3 linked regions of the Yarrowia lipolytica genome follow. The protein of the gene in region 1 interacts with the protein of each later gene in a pairwise test. Links are inferred from orthologs where the notes say so. Each region holds a gene or a part of one and is shown on either strand. Other genes may lie near its edges. The genes, in order: YALI1_A02083g, YALI1_B11916g and YALI1_D21031g.

Region 1 (4,539 bases):
GGCTCACACAGGTCGTCAGAATCCCACTCCAAAGTCGGCAAGTCAGTGCACACGGCCCCTGTCTCTTTCTTCTGCTTGGAATCGAAATTAGGAGCTCCAATAATCTCGGAAGAAACGATATCCTCGTCGAAAGACATGCAATCTGTGCATCTGAACACGAGATCCGGAGTGTACCAATTGTTGAAGCAGCTGTAGGACTCGGGAATCACAGTATTTTGGTCATAGGTGATGTTGAATGTGTCTTTATTGGGCTCATCGACAACTACTCCTCCAGCTGAAGCAATAAGGGATCTGAGATTGGTGTGGATTCTGACGGAGGCTTCTGACCAAGGAGTCACAATGAAGAACTGCCTGCTGTGACCATCTTCCTTTAGAAACGTCTTGGCGAGAGCTCCTTCCTCTGGAAAAAAGGGAACGTGGTTGTAATCCACGGCTACCAATCTCTTAGCAGCGACCTTTGAAGTCAATAATGCGGACTCTCTGTTGATCTCAGCTGTGGTTATTGTATCGAGATTGGTATCCTCCTCTATTTTGACCTTGGCCGTACCACCAATAGTATCAGTACTTGGATCAGCACCTTCCCCGACAGAGGTATCAGTTGTGTGGCCTAAGGCGAATTTGGACACTTTGTGCTCGGCAATGATAGATGTATCTTTCTCCTGCTGCTTGGTCCTCATGGTGCCTAGCGGTGGTTCTCCAGTCACATTCTCGGACCCTCGATCAAATGCACCCAATTCTTCCACGTGAGTCTCAATGAGCCCGGTCTTTGACAGTTTCTCCAAGTCCAACCGTTTTTCCCTCCTGCTGCTCCTCTTCACCACTTTTCCTGCTCCTGCTCCTTGGTCATCAGACTTGATCCACAAAACTCGTCTTCTTTCCGCTGCCATAAAAAGCTCTTGGGTCGTGAGTTTTGGCGCGTGTCGGGATTTTGGAGACATTGGAGTCGATTTCAGCCGTATTTGTGCCATTTCAGCATGTTTCGGAAGTTGATAATCGGTGTCAAAAGCTCGTGGGGCCCAACATGAGGTTCAGTTCGGCTGTATTCTGCATTTCCGATGCGGCATGTGCATGATTTGACTGAGGCTCATGTGGGGTAAAATTGAAAAAAAAAAAATAGAAAAAATAGAAAATTAAAAAATAGAAAAACTAGAAAATTAAAAATTAAAAAAATTAGAAAAATTAGAAGAAAAAAAAGAAGAAAAAAATGACTACATTAATCTACTTATCCTATTAATAACATGATTATTTCAATCCTCCTCCACCACGTCGATGACAGCCACATCCAGCCGAATCCAGCCGTATCCAGCCTTTTCAGCCTCATGTAATTCCACAATCTACACAACCCACAATCAACCATCTATCAAATACATCATCCAACTATCCCCTGGAGCCTATCTCTCAAGAGAAATGGAGTTGCCAAACTTGGCATACAAATGCTTCTTGAGCTCCTCCATCTCGTCTCGAATCTCGGCCATCCTGCTCTGGGTCTTGTCGAGCTTGGCGTCCACTTCCTCCTGCTGCTTCTCTAGTCGCACCATGGCTTCACTCTGGGGAATGTCCACAAAGGCGTCGCCAATCTTGAACTTGACGGTCTCGTCCTCGTCCATCAGCTCCATCTCCATGATCAGATCGTCCAGGTACTCTTTGCTGGTCGACGACTCCTTCTCATCGTCCTCAAGATGGTCCATCTGGGTGTTGAGAGAAGAGAAGCGGTTAATTCGGTCCTGGTCCTCCCTCAGAACTTCCACGTCCTTGACCTCGGTTCCTTCGTCGAGCTGGGTTAGTACTGGATGGATTCGCCAGCAGACTCAGATAAGTGTAAACGAGCCCTTAACTGCGCACGATTACCAGTGGTTCAGGCATACAGCCAAACGGGTCGAACGCAGATGGATTTCTGGTTTCTGGTAAGTCAGCGATCAACATGGACACGGCAAGCAGATGTACCCCGGCTAATACATCAATTTGTGGCCTCCATCTCGATCTGTTCCTTTCTGCGGTCCCAGTTGCAATTATGGGCACATCTGACTTCATTACAGGATGATCAATCGATCTCAACCACATCTCTCAGCTCTACGGTACTCGGTGAGGTCGTATCCCTGGTTGGCTGTTGGTATGCTTGAATTTGTATACCACCTAGTCTCATACCACGGAGATTCAATTTTAAACAACCAACCAGACCTTCACTCATAATTGCCCTCCTCTCAAGATCAGATCAAAGACCAATCACGGATGTGTCACTGATTGCCACACCGCCCCAGCAACTGGCGATGGTCCATTCTGAACCGCATCTGCATTGTAACAACAAATTCTGTCCGCAAATGCGTCTCTAAAACCTCCTGTCCAGCCCATTACTCACCATTCGCATTGTGTGTAGTTGTGTGTTGGTCAGTGCACTCCTGGATTGTGTGTTCAGGCGTGCATCATCTTGCTTATGTAAGTGAACTCTACGAGGAGGATGGGTCGCCAGTTCGAACCCGGTCAGGTGGTATTTCAAGGAAATAACCGCAAATCGCGAATCGGACGAGTTATACCATCTTCCTCGACCTCGTCAATCGGATCTGGTGGATCGCATGATTTGATCACGTGACGTTATATCCCCCCTTCTTAGACTTCCTAAATGATGTTTATGTATCAAGTCCAGATTGGATTTCTCCAGTACGTACTTGTAGTGTTATTTGGCTTAAAAACAGTCGATTTTGTCCAGAAAAACCAATCATGAAAATTTGCAGGCAGATTTGAGCTGACTTCTCTGTTTCCAGCTCTTCAGCGCCATTTCAAGTCTTCCAGAATGTTCTCTGTTTTGGTCGTTATTTTCATCTCAACTTTAAATCACCACTGAAAAAAAAAAAATCGTGATTTTTCATTATTTTAGAGTTCCCCATAATTTCAAGTTTCACCGTACACATCAGAACAACATCATATTTCCGTCATATTCCGTCATATTTCCAACATATTTCTTCTAAAGATTGGAAATTGCAAAAAAATCAGACCAAATTAGTCGAAAATATCGTTCCAAGTCGAAAGACCGGCCTAAGATACCCACTTTTGCGCAATACCCAACATCCCCAGTCATGCCTTTGAACACCCTCACAAAACTTCCCAGACTCGCTCTGGCGGTCAGCGGAGGGTCCGACTCAATGGCACTGGCCTACATGATATCACAAACACCCGGTTTGAGCGAGAAAACCACAGCATACACCGTGGATCACGGGGTACGGAGTGAATCGTCTTCGGAGGCCCAAAACGTTCACGAAATCGTCTCTAGACTAGGTATAAACCATCGGATTCTCAAATTGGACGCTTTGAACGACACAAAAGAACTTTCAATGCGACAGGCGCGTTATTCGAAACTCATTGCGGCCATGAATGATGACGGAGTTTCTACAGTCGTCACGGCACATACCCAAGACGATTGTATAGAGACATTCGTGGTACGTATGCTTAGAGGAAGTGGATTATTTGGACTTGCAGGAATCCAGCCACGAGTCTCGTTTAATCCTTATACCTGGGGAGGAGGTGGTATTGCGCTGAAACAGCATTCAAGGACGGAATTGGCGTCTGGATGGAAGCTAATGAGACCGTTACTGGGTCTAACAAAGTCCCATTTACGAAATGTGCTTGTTAAGAACAACATCCCCTGGTTCGAAGACCCTACCAACCAAAACGTGGAGATTGCAGAACGAAACCTGGTGAGAAAGATGTATTACGAGTACCCGGAACTGATTCCGGAGGAGTTCCAGGCATCCAATGTATTGAGACTGCTGGAGAAGCTCAATGGGTATCGGATAAAGTGCGAAACGGAGGCTTCCGAGGTATCTTCCAGATTGCTAGCTGCTTCTCAATCGCCAGATGGAACTATTACTCTCTCTGAGGAACAAGTGAAAGGGGTTCTGACCAAACTGCCACATGATACGCTTCAACTAGTATTGAGAAACATTCTTTCTCCGCTATCTCCGTTGCCAGATCTGTCTCTAAGGCTGCACAGACTGCGAGGCTTGACTGGACGGTTTGAAGCAGGCAACAAGTTCAACCTTGCCGGAGTCGACTTCTCCCTCAGAAACGACAAATGGCAGCTGTCGCGCGAGGTGCCTCGACGACCTTCCGATCACGTGGTCCAGCTAACTCCCGGTCGTGTGAGTCTCTGGGATAACCGGTTCTTTGTTGTTTCCGACCTCCCAAAGGCCACGGTCCAGTTTATCGACTGGGACAGTCATCGAGAGCTGTTCAAGAGCAAGGAGGAGCTGAACAAGGCGCGAGATCAGGCGAGAAAGAGAAACCCCATCCTGGTTTACGAGGGTGGATATTCTTTTCCTGCTTTACAACGAGGTGTTTTGAATACAATGCCCAAGTGAGTGTACAGCACGATATGGGGAGTGCGAGGCAGCCCGGCGAGCCTCGAGGATCTTTCGAGCGTCTCAAGTTTTGTTTATTCATCAGCTGATCAGATTTCATCACCACTGGGGAAGTATGAGCTCAGAAATGGCTATAACGTTCCAGTAGCGTGATGGCAAACACAGCTCAACGACATGGCCGACATGA
Region 2 (3,895 bases), on another chromosome or scaffold:
CTACTCGCAATTGCACTCGTACTTGTGTGCAAGATCTAGGCCTCACCCCTTAGAATGTCGAGTAATATGTCAACTATTGAGAGTTAAATTTGGTAGATTTTGTTCCTGTGTTTGGCTTATCACGACAACAGGTTACCAGAGGCTGATTGAGCTGAGAAATGAACCAAGTATTCAGAAGGAGAACAAAATAACCGGTTCCCAATTTTTGGAGCAATTGGAGCCTTTCTGGGGACGATCTGATGTGGTATGTTGTAGGCTATAGATCAAGTGTTAGTTGGGAACTAGTTGGGGGTTAGTTTAGAACAGGCAAAACTAGCAGTTTCTCCAACTCTCCTTTTTTTCCTCACAAAGGTCGGGGGTTTTCTCCACATTATATCCAGCAGACAGACAAGGTGGATGGTATCGTTTTTACGGTGCGCCCACATCTTTCTGAAGAGCAGGTGATACGTTGTTCTCTTCGATTTTGCTGAGGAGTTCGGGCATGTATACATGGAAGAGAAGACTACATGTTCCTGAGATGTACAGAAGCTTCAAGACAAGTAATAATCGACCTATGAAAGACACAAGAATTGCTATCATTAACGATTGATCTCAATTGATCCAGAAGAGTTCTCAGGCCTTCACTTCTTTAGCTGTACGCGGAGCTATAGACAATCTACAGGAACTGTCATGACAAGTTACAATTGGAAAACAAGTAGATCCATCGGCTCAGAATCAAACAGAGATCCCAATTGCGGTTTCAAACCAGCTTTGATGATACACGTACAATCTTTGGAGATATCTACTCTTGAGTACATACAAGTAGCACCCTATCAGGTTATACAAACGTGGAAGTCAGAGACAAGTGTACCTACAACACAAGTCGATGATTTCTTGTCCAAAACAAAAACGGATGCCGCAGTGATATTCGCCCCAGCCCAGACATTCCGCTGATATCTTCCGATTTTGTTCACCCCCCAAAAAAATTCCACCCATTCTCAAGATTGACATTCATTTCATACCATCACCTACTTGTTTTCCGCTCGCTCCGCCTCCTCACGCTCCTTCTTACGTCGGTTTACGTCCCAGTTGTGCACACGGGCAATGTTCACCTCAACGGTGGTGATGTTTTCTCTCAGAAACAGCACATCTTCCTCGGCGGTGTCGTAGCCTCTCTTGGCACCCTCCAACCGCTCACTCAGCAGCTGCTTGGCCTCGGCAACATCGTACTCCAGCATCACGTTGGCGCCCAGCCACAGATAGACAGACTGAATGCCGCTCGCCTCGATCTTGGCTTCTGTGTACAGCGTGTCGTTGAGCTCGTAGTTGGTCACCACGTCTTCGCCGGCCGAACCCTTGAGCTGCAGAAACTCCACCATCTCCAGCGACTTTTGGATGTCCGGAATCTTCTCCTTGAGCCCGGCCTGCCGCTGTAAAGTCGTCATTTCCATATACTTGTACTTTTGCAGCATTTCCTGGAATTTGTCGAGCGATTCCTTGACGCCCGACTTGCTCACAAACTCGGCCACATTGTCGACGAAGGGGGCCCGGGGAATGCCGCGGGGGTTTGTGTCAGGTTCAGAGGACGCAGACATTGTGTGTGAGTGATTGTGTAACTGGAGTGATCTGTAGTGTGCGATCTGTGATGTGGTGATCTGCAGGCGGAAGTTTAGGGAGTTGGTGCAGTCAGTTTGAAGAGTAGTTCCACAAGTCACAATTTTGTATGAAAATGGGCTATGATTATTACACCATTGGAATAGCTGCAAATTTACTGATGGAAAGATACATGTTCCACAACATTTTTCTTGCGAAAACAACCATAGAGGACAACAAAGCACCGCCCTAACTCATGTACTAAGTGTGTATACCTTTACTTGAACTTAGTTAAGATACTTAGTTAGACGTTACGACGACATTACCCACATCCTCAAGCGTTCTATGGTGACTGGAAAATACCAAAAGATCAAAGAAAACCAGAAAAGAAAACTGTTTTTCATTGACCTGAAAAAAATCCAATCAAGTAATGTGAGAATTTCAATCTCTTCTGTTCTGCACCAGTACAATAAATCAAACCGTCAAAACCTGTCCAACTGAGAAGATAACTGAATCAGAAACAGTTAATTTACTCATATAATTGCAACCTATAAAAAAATCTGTGATTAATATCCATGCACTCCCCCAATATTGCGATATTTGGATCCGCTCGTTCCTCAGTGCAGACGCGCTGAGTGTTGAAAAGACACCAAAGAAGACACCAAAGAAGACACCAAAGAAGGACTTTGCCAGAAACCCGTTGAGATTGCTCAGTTAACAAATTGTTGGTGAGTTCATTTACTATCGGATCAACATTGGTTGTTTTTTTGATAAAGAACCACGAGGACTTCATGGAGTAAACATCATTTGCTGACTAAAGTATACATTCAAGTTAGATGGAGTCCTCCAGCAAAATAGATTGTAAGGAGACATTTGTTAGTTGCCACGTGACGGATGGAATGGTTATTATTCAAAATCTCTGATCGGGTGATTACCCGTGGTGATAGAAGTGGTGTGTGTAGTTGTCACTTCAAAGTGAAAACTCCAAGATAGAATCCGAAATTGGGCTCGGAAAGAGGAAGAGAAATCCCTGGATGAACTCAGCAGAGGGTTTTAACCGCAATTATCTTCTTTCACTTCTCTCCACCGTGTCTCTTCAGCCACTTGTAGACATGTCTCCATTCCAACTACACCTCAACCAATATCCTAACGATCTCAATCTTTTTGTTAATCAGAATCATTCCAGCCACCCCAACAAATTACTTGACCTGACAACCAAATCCGAAACGGAGAAAATAAATCCTCAAATCACAAAATCATATAACACAAAACCACCAAAAACCCCATTGCTTTTCCTAATCCGTCTTTTACCCCTTGCTACCTCTTCGAGATGACTTTGGAGCTTGCCCAATTTTTTTTTATGTTAGTCTAAACCCTAAAAATAAACACCTTGCCAAATTGGGATTTCCGAATAGCCGTCAGTTTAGCCAAAGTGAGTGCAGCAAATAGATGCACCACTTCGAATCGAACCGACGGTGATTAACAAACTCAAATAAGGTTTTGATTATTAATTTTGTCATTTTTTTTAGGGTAAAAAGGAACAATGACAGTAAACGATATTATGGCATATCGAGACCCAGAGTGATATAACCAATTTCTCTGCGATATTCCTAGACCCTCAAATAACCCACAACATCCCCTCTACGCCCATTCTCACATGACTTTCACAACATGTTGGAGGAGGGTCCCAATTTCGCCAATCTGGTTAAGGTTTGTCCCAATTTGTAATTCACGTGACGTGACTGCTCTTTCAAATTTTCAGTTGGGACTCCTCCCAAGTATCTTAATTTCTCTCTGCAGTCTCTTCATCTTCGACAAATCATTCACCATGGGAAAAGACTCTTTCACCAAGAAGCACCAGAAGCATTCTAACCGAACTGCTCCCAAGTCCGAGAACGTCTACCTGACCCTCCTGGTCAAGCTGTACCGATTCCTGGCCCGTGAGTGCGAGTGAGGACGTGTTATTAATGACATTGTCCAAGCACAGAAATGTGCGGAGCGTGAGCACTACGGAGAGGTTGAGAGTGGGTCTATGCATGTGCTGTGCGGTGGCATCTACCGTACTATTACAAGTATGGTACTTGTGTATGGCACAGTTGCGTTGCCCGAACTCCCTCGACATGCCACGTAGAGTGGTGCCAGAATCAAGACCCATCTTGTTTTGGGATTCTATTGATACGGCATCACAGTCGAATTTTGACATTCGGCCTTTTATTTCGTTTTCTTTTTACTAACTCAGGACGAACTGACTCCAAGTTCAACAAGCGGGTTCTCAAGGGTCTTTTCCTCTCCAAGGTCAACCGACCCCCCGTCTCCACTGGCA
Region 3 (4,739 bases), on another chromosome or scaffold:
GATCAAGTGTTCTCTGATGTTGTGGCCCCGGTTGTTGGCGAGGTAGTTGTACGGTCCCAGCAGCGCGGTGTCGGCGGCCTTGCCCCATATCTCCTTGAAATCCGCGCTGTTATAATCCATGAGATTTGCCACCCAACGTCGTTGGCTGTGGTGGTGGTGGTGGTTGCGAATCAAGGTTGAAATTAAATACGTGTTTTATTTCGCACATTAATAAACTTTGAGATAAGAGATGATATCAGCTGGGACAATACCGCCCACACTTCAAGTGCCGTACCAGTGCCACAAGGACAACCCACTCTTACACATACATGTCAATCACCAAATCCGAACTCGAAAACCTGCGGGACAAGTCGCTCAGCGCACGTGACTTCTCTTACTCGCCCTACTCAAAGTTCCGAGTCGGAGCTGTGCTGCTGACCGAGTCTGGAGAATGGATCCAGGGCGCCAATGTGGAGAACGCCAGTTACGGAGGTGCTATTTGCGCCGAAAGAGTGGCCATCACCAGGGCTATTGTGAGTACACCACACAGAGGATGCAGTGTCAGCATGGGCACGGGGAGATCAAGTGATGGTGCCTACTTGCCTACTAACACAGATGGAGGGACACAAGAAGTTCAAGGCTATTGGAGTGGCTTCGGACCTTTCTGTGGTCTGCTCCCCATGCGGTATTTGTCGACAGTTGTGAGTATAAACCTGTCTTGTCTTAGGAGCCGTGTTTTAGTCTGACGTTCGAAATCGCACCAGAGCCTACAGCTACGCCTTCAGTGGTTGTCCGTACTAACGCAGCATCAGAGAATGGTCTACCGACATTCCCATCTATCTCTTCACCAAGGTGAGTATACACTGTCATCATTCTATCAATTGATTGCTAACCCAGGACGGAAAGTACACGATGCAAACCATCAAGGAGCTGCTGCCTCTGAGCTTTGGCCCCGAGCATCTCGATACTGAAAAGGTCGAAGCCGAAACCGAGACGCTATTGGAGGTCTAGACTTGCACCACGTCTGACTATGACGGGGGAGCCTGGAGCTTGGCTCGCAGGGCCAGGAGCTGTGTTAGTAAGTAAGCAGGACGGGCAAACGCCGACACGCCACTTCCTGGCATTTAGTGCATATGTAAATAACAGAAAACATGAAGTAAACCAGTGCGCCTTGTGCATCTTATGCATCTTGTGCGCCATATTTGACAGTCATTTCCCCACCAGAACAGTATCGCCTTTCTCAACTCACCTGATCTCTCTTGTCCTCAGCCTGCTTTTGCAAACTTGCAACCTCCTCCTCCACGGTGGAGATCTGGCCGCGGATGAACTCCAGTCGCTTCTCCACGTTGCTCTTGGCTTCGTCGATAGACTGGGGCACCAGCACGGGGCCGGTCAGCTTGTAGACCTTGGCGTTGTCCTTGACGGACTTGAACTCATCCTCAACAATGAGGTTTTCCTGTAGTTGGGCCTCGAGCTTTTGCCGGGACTCAATGTGTTTTTGCATGGCTGGGTTAGTACGCACGGCAGTGGCCGGGGCCGGAAGTAGAGGGGGTTGGGGATCGGCTTCGGCTTCGGCTTCGGGGTGCTGGTAGAAGAGAGATAGCACGTCGGGGTTTTAGAAGGCATCTATCTAGAAGAGATGAATCCCCGCAAGACCATAGAATACCACAGAACATGAGAAACTGACCTGGGTCTTCTCTCGCATATACCGCTAGCAACCGGCTAGGACGTCAGCCTAGAGAATGCACCTTTCAGTACCACCCACTTGATGTCGACAAATCTGTTGCAAAAGGATGGCTATTAATCCGAAACAACGTTCAACTGATTGTATCGGCTCAGTCGGCTCATTCGGACGAGCCAGGGTCTCAGCTGGACGTCTTCAGGTCCTTCAGTCCTTCCGTTGGTGGTCATAAAACTGATTTGACACCCCAGTGCTACCCAGTTATCACCTGATATCGGTCACAGCAACACGCATGGACCTGTTAGGGCCAATTGGGATCGTGTAATTGCAGCTTTCGCCTAATCTCTCCATTGTCAGCCCATTTTCACCGCAATTCAGCCATCTCTTCTCCGTCGGATCCAACACCTGGTGAGCCTCCATCCCCGTTCATGTTCCCGTGCTGCTGCCAGCTTCGCACACTACTCACATTGCTGGACAACCTCAAACTCGCCGGAGAGCTGCTCAAACTTTTTCTGGTCTTCCATCTTGTCTGTTGGTGTTGTGTTGTGGTGATCTGTCGTTTGGTCAGCCTGGCGATTTGACTGCCTACAATTTCGACAAAGTTCGAGACCTCGCATCTTTGGAGGCGAGTTTATCGAGACCCTAGCGCCACCCTCTCCAGCACACCAACGCTGCCAGAAACGGTACCAAAGACGGAAATACAACACAATGCAAGTGAGTACAGGAGCCTGGAGGCCGTTGAACAACAGTGGTTGCCATTGAGTGGTTGGACGGCGGTTTCTGACCGGTATCGACTGGATCATACCCAAGAAGGCGAGATGAGATGAGATGAGATGAGGGTTGGCCGACATTATTCAACCATTGCATGTTATCCGACACTATCCAACCATGACATGTTACCTGTTCATTCTTGAATGAGCTACTCACTCGGGCGAATGAATCCGGTTCACGTCATGTCTCTTGGTGATTGATGCTATGCTACTACGTCAGAGTGTCATGATAGTGATGTCTCGCATGTCCAGACGTTGATTCCACTCTGCGGTGACGACCACGAACACGGGTTTTAACAGCTTCTGCTTTGCTGATCTTGAAAGACCGTCTTTTTAGTGCCATTTATGTTGTTGTGTGGACTTGTTCCATAACATATCACCGAAATGATCTGGTTGTGCTCTCAGATTACAATTGCGTGACTTGGGATAACAGATCCATGACCTCACTTCCTGTTCCTTTCATTCATTTCTAACCCAGCTCAAACCATGGCTCCAAGTCAACTCTCCCCGACACATTATCGAGGAGGGACATGAAGAAGGATTTGAAGACGGCCAGGAAGCGTCGCCCTACACGAAATCCGTGCTCTTCGCCAACTCTCTCACTCATCCAACCTCGCCACAGACTCTTCTCGTGTCCACAGCAAAACTCTTTCCTGTAGTGGAAGCTCTTTTCACTCAGAAATCGAAACCCATCAATCTCGGCGAGATTGTCGGCGAGATTCAGCTCAAAAAGAATGCCCAGAGCGCAGAAAACAGACGCAAGTTTACCACCGACTTTTTGGAGGAGGAAGACGAGGAGGACGAGCTGGAGGATGTCACTAAAGAGCTGATCACCTCCCACAAGGTAATCCTATCGCCAGTTCAGTATGGAGATGTGGTTCTAGTGGAAATCAAGCAGGATGAGCTTCTTCTGGCACATGGGTTTGCTCAACAGTTGGTTGATCTAATCAAACCCTGCCAAGCGCTCATTCTTGCACCTGGTAACACCATTGCTGACGTTCATGTGCACCAGCTGGATGTGGGTAAGTCGAATCTCGTCCCCCTGGCTTCCACACCTCTGCTGCAGTCTCCAAACTTCATATCTGGACTAGGAGCCGCCGTTCTCACCCGATGTCAGCAGTCACAGGTGCCTGCCACAGCACTAGTGGTCCAGAATGTGGGCACTCAGTCGTTCGAGCGATACCAGAGTGACACGTTCGAGGACCTGACTGGAATTCTCGCCGGAGTTTTCGGGCTCGACGCAGCAAAGGCGTTGAAGGAGTTGAGAGCAGATGATGGCGTTGCTGGACTGTACCTGTAGGAGGTCATGACTGCGTTGCAGAGGCGGTTTCGATGCGTCCACAACACAATTAGTATATTTGTCTTAGTATTGTACCTGATAAGGGCTCAGTGAACTTGTATGAGAATACCGCCTATGAAAACAGGCACAGCTGTAGTGCCTGAGACATGTCAGATACTTGTAGGTGTTATCACATTTCTCAGATTCCAGTCTTGTGGCAGTCTTCCCTCATTCTACGGTCGCAAAATCACATCATCTGGCAACCCTCACTGCATGCCAGATGTATGCAACTTTGCATCTTCACTTGTATTATCCGTTAAATATATACTACATTAATCCTTCTTTGACTTCTTCTTCTTAGGAGTCTCATCACCGCCCAAGCTCTTTCGCTTCTTGTCCTTCTTTTCCTTCTTGTCCTTCTTGTCCTTCTTCTCAGACTTGTCCTTCTTTTCCTTCTTTTCCTTCTTGTCCTTCTTTTCCTTCTTCTCCTTCTTGTCGGAATCGTCATCCATCTCAACGTCAGAGTCCTCATCGACCTCAACGTCGCCCATGTTGGCCAGAACCTCGTCCATGGCGTTCTTCATGGCATCGACGTTCTTGGTGGGGGCAACTCCGGTATCGTAGAAGGTGAGTCGCTCCTCGACCTGCTGCTTGAGGGCCTTTCCGAAGATGGAAGTGGGCACATCGGAGTAGTTGTCGATTCGAGATGCAATGGAACACTTGTTGGCGAGGAATCGGGAGATTCGGCCCTTGTTCTTGAGACCGGCCTTGCCGATGAAAGAAGAGTGGTAGATCAGACCGTATTTAGGGGTGTTTCCCTTGGTCTTAAGAGCTCGGAACAGAGCCTTCTCGGCACCGAGAATCTGGACAGTAGAGGCAGGGTACTTGGACAGGTTGGTAAGAGAACCGGCGTGAGAGATGAGTCGGGCACCAACAACCTCACCAATAAGCTCGGACAGGTTGGGAGCAATGGTGTTCATCTTCTCGGACAGGTAGCCGTAGAGCTTTCGTCGGTAGTCGGTGATGTTGA

What was found.
Region 2: the proteins of YALI1_A02083g (region 1) and YALI1_B11916g interact in binary tests that used the Saccharomyces cerevisiae proteins (3 or more experiments, as listed by UniProt). The link is inferred for Yarrowia lipolytica from reciprocal best matches to the Saccharomyces cerevisiae genes GIM3 and PAC10.
Region 3: the proteins of YALI1_A02083g (region 1) and YALI1_D21031g interact in binary tests that used the Saccharomyces cerevisiae proteins (3 or more experiments, as listed by UniProt). The link is inferred for Yarrowia lipolytica from reciprocal best matches to the Saccharomyces cerevisiae genes GIM3 and YKE2.

What each region holds. Positions count from the first base shown.
Region 1 is NC_090770.1:206,558-211,096, forward strand, and holds YALI1_A02083g (uncharacterized protein), read right to left. Parts: upstream 2,366-4,539; coding exon 2,357-2,365; intron 1,776-2,356; coding exon 1,392-1,775; downstream 1-1,391. Other genes in the region: YALI1_A02075g (uncharacterized protein), read right to left, coding at 1-968; YALI1_A02096g (uncharacterized protein), read left to right, coding at 3,072-4,352; YALI1_A02113g (uncharacterized protein), read right to left, coding at 4,452-4,539. UniProt on the Saccharomyces cerevisiae protein: Binds specifically to cytosolic chaperonin (c-CPN) and transfers target proteins to it. Binds to nascent polypeptide chain and promotes folding in an environment in which there are many competing pathways for nonnative proteins.
Region 2 is NC_090771.1:1,190,041-1,193,935, forward strand, and holds YALI1_B11916g (uncharacterized protein), read right to left. Parts: upstream 1,575-3,895; coding exon 1,008-1,574; downstream 1-1,007. Other genes in the region: YALI1_B11934g (60S ribosomal protein eL18), read left to right, coding at 3,401-3,512, 3,812-3,895. UniProt on the Saccharomyces cerevisiae protein: Binds specifically to cytosolic chaperonin (c-CPN) and transfers target proteins to it. Binds to nascent polypeptide chain and promotes folding in an environment in which there are many competing pathways for nonnative proteins.
Region 3 is NC_090773.1:2,102,060-2,106,798, forward strand, and holds YALI1_D21031g (uncharacterized protein), read right to left. Parts: upstream 2,185-4,739; coding exon 2,127-2,184; intron 1,486-2,126; coding exon 1,229-1,485; intron 1,050-1,228; coding exon 1,008-1,049; downstream 1-1,007. Other genes in the region: YALI1_D21022g (uncharacterized protein), read right to left, coding at 1-120; YALI1_D21023g (uncharacterized protein), read left to right, coding at 309-512, 595-680, 786-831, 877-990; YALI1_D21044g (uncharacterized protein), read left to right, coding at 2,369-2,374, 2,909-3,730; YALI1_D21076g (uncharacterized protein), read right to left, coding at 4,042-4,739. UniProt on the Saccharomyces cerevisiae protein: Binds specifically to cytosolic chaperonin (c-CPN) and transfers target proteins to it. Binds to nascent polypeptide chain and promotes folding in an environment in which there are many competing pathways for nonnative proteins.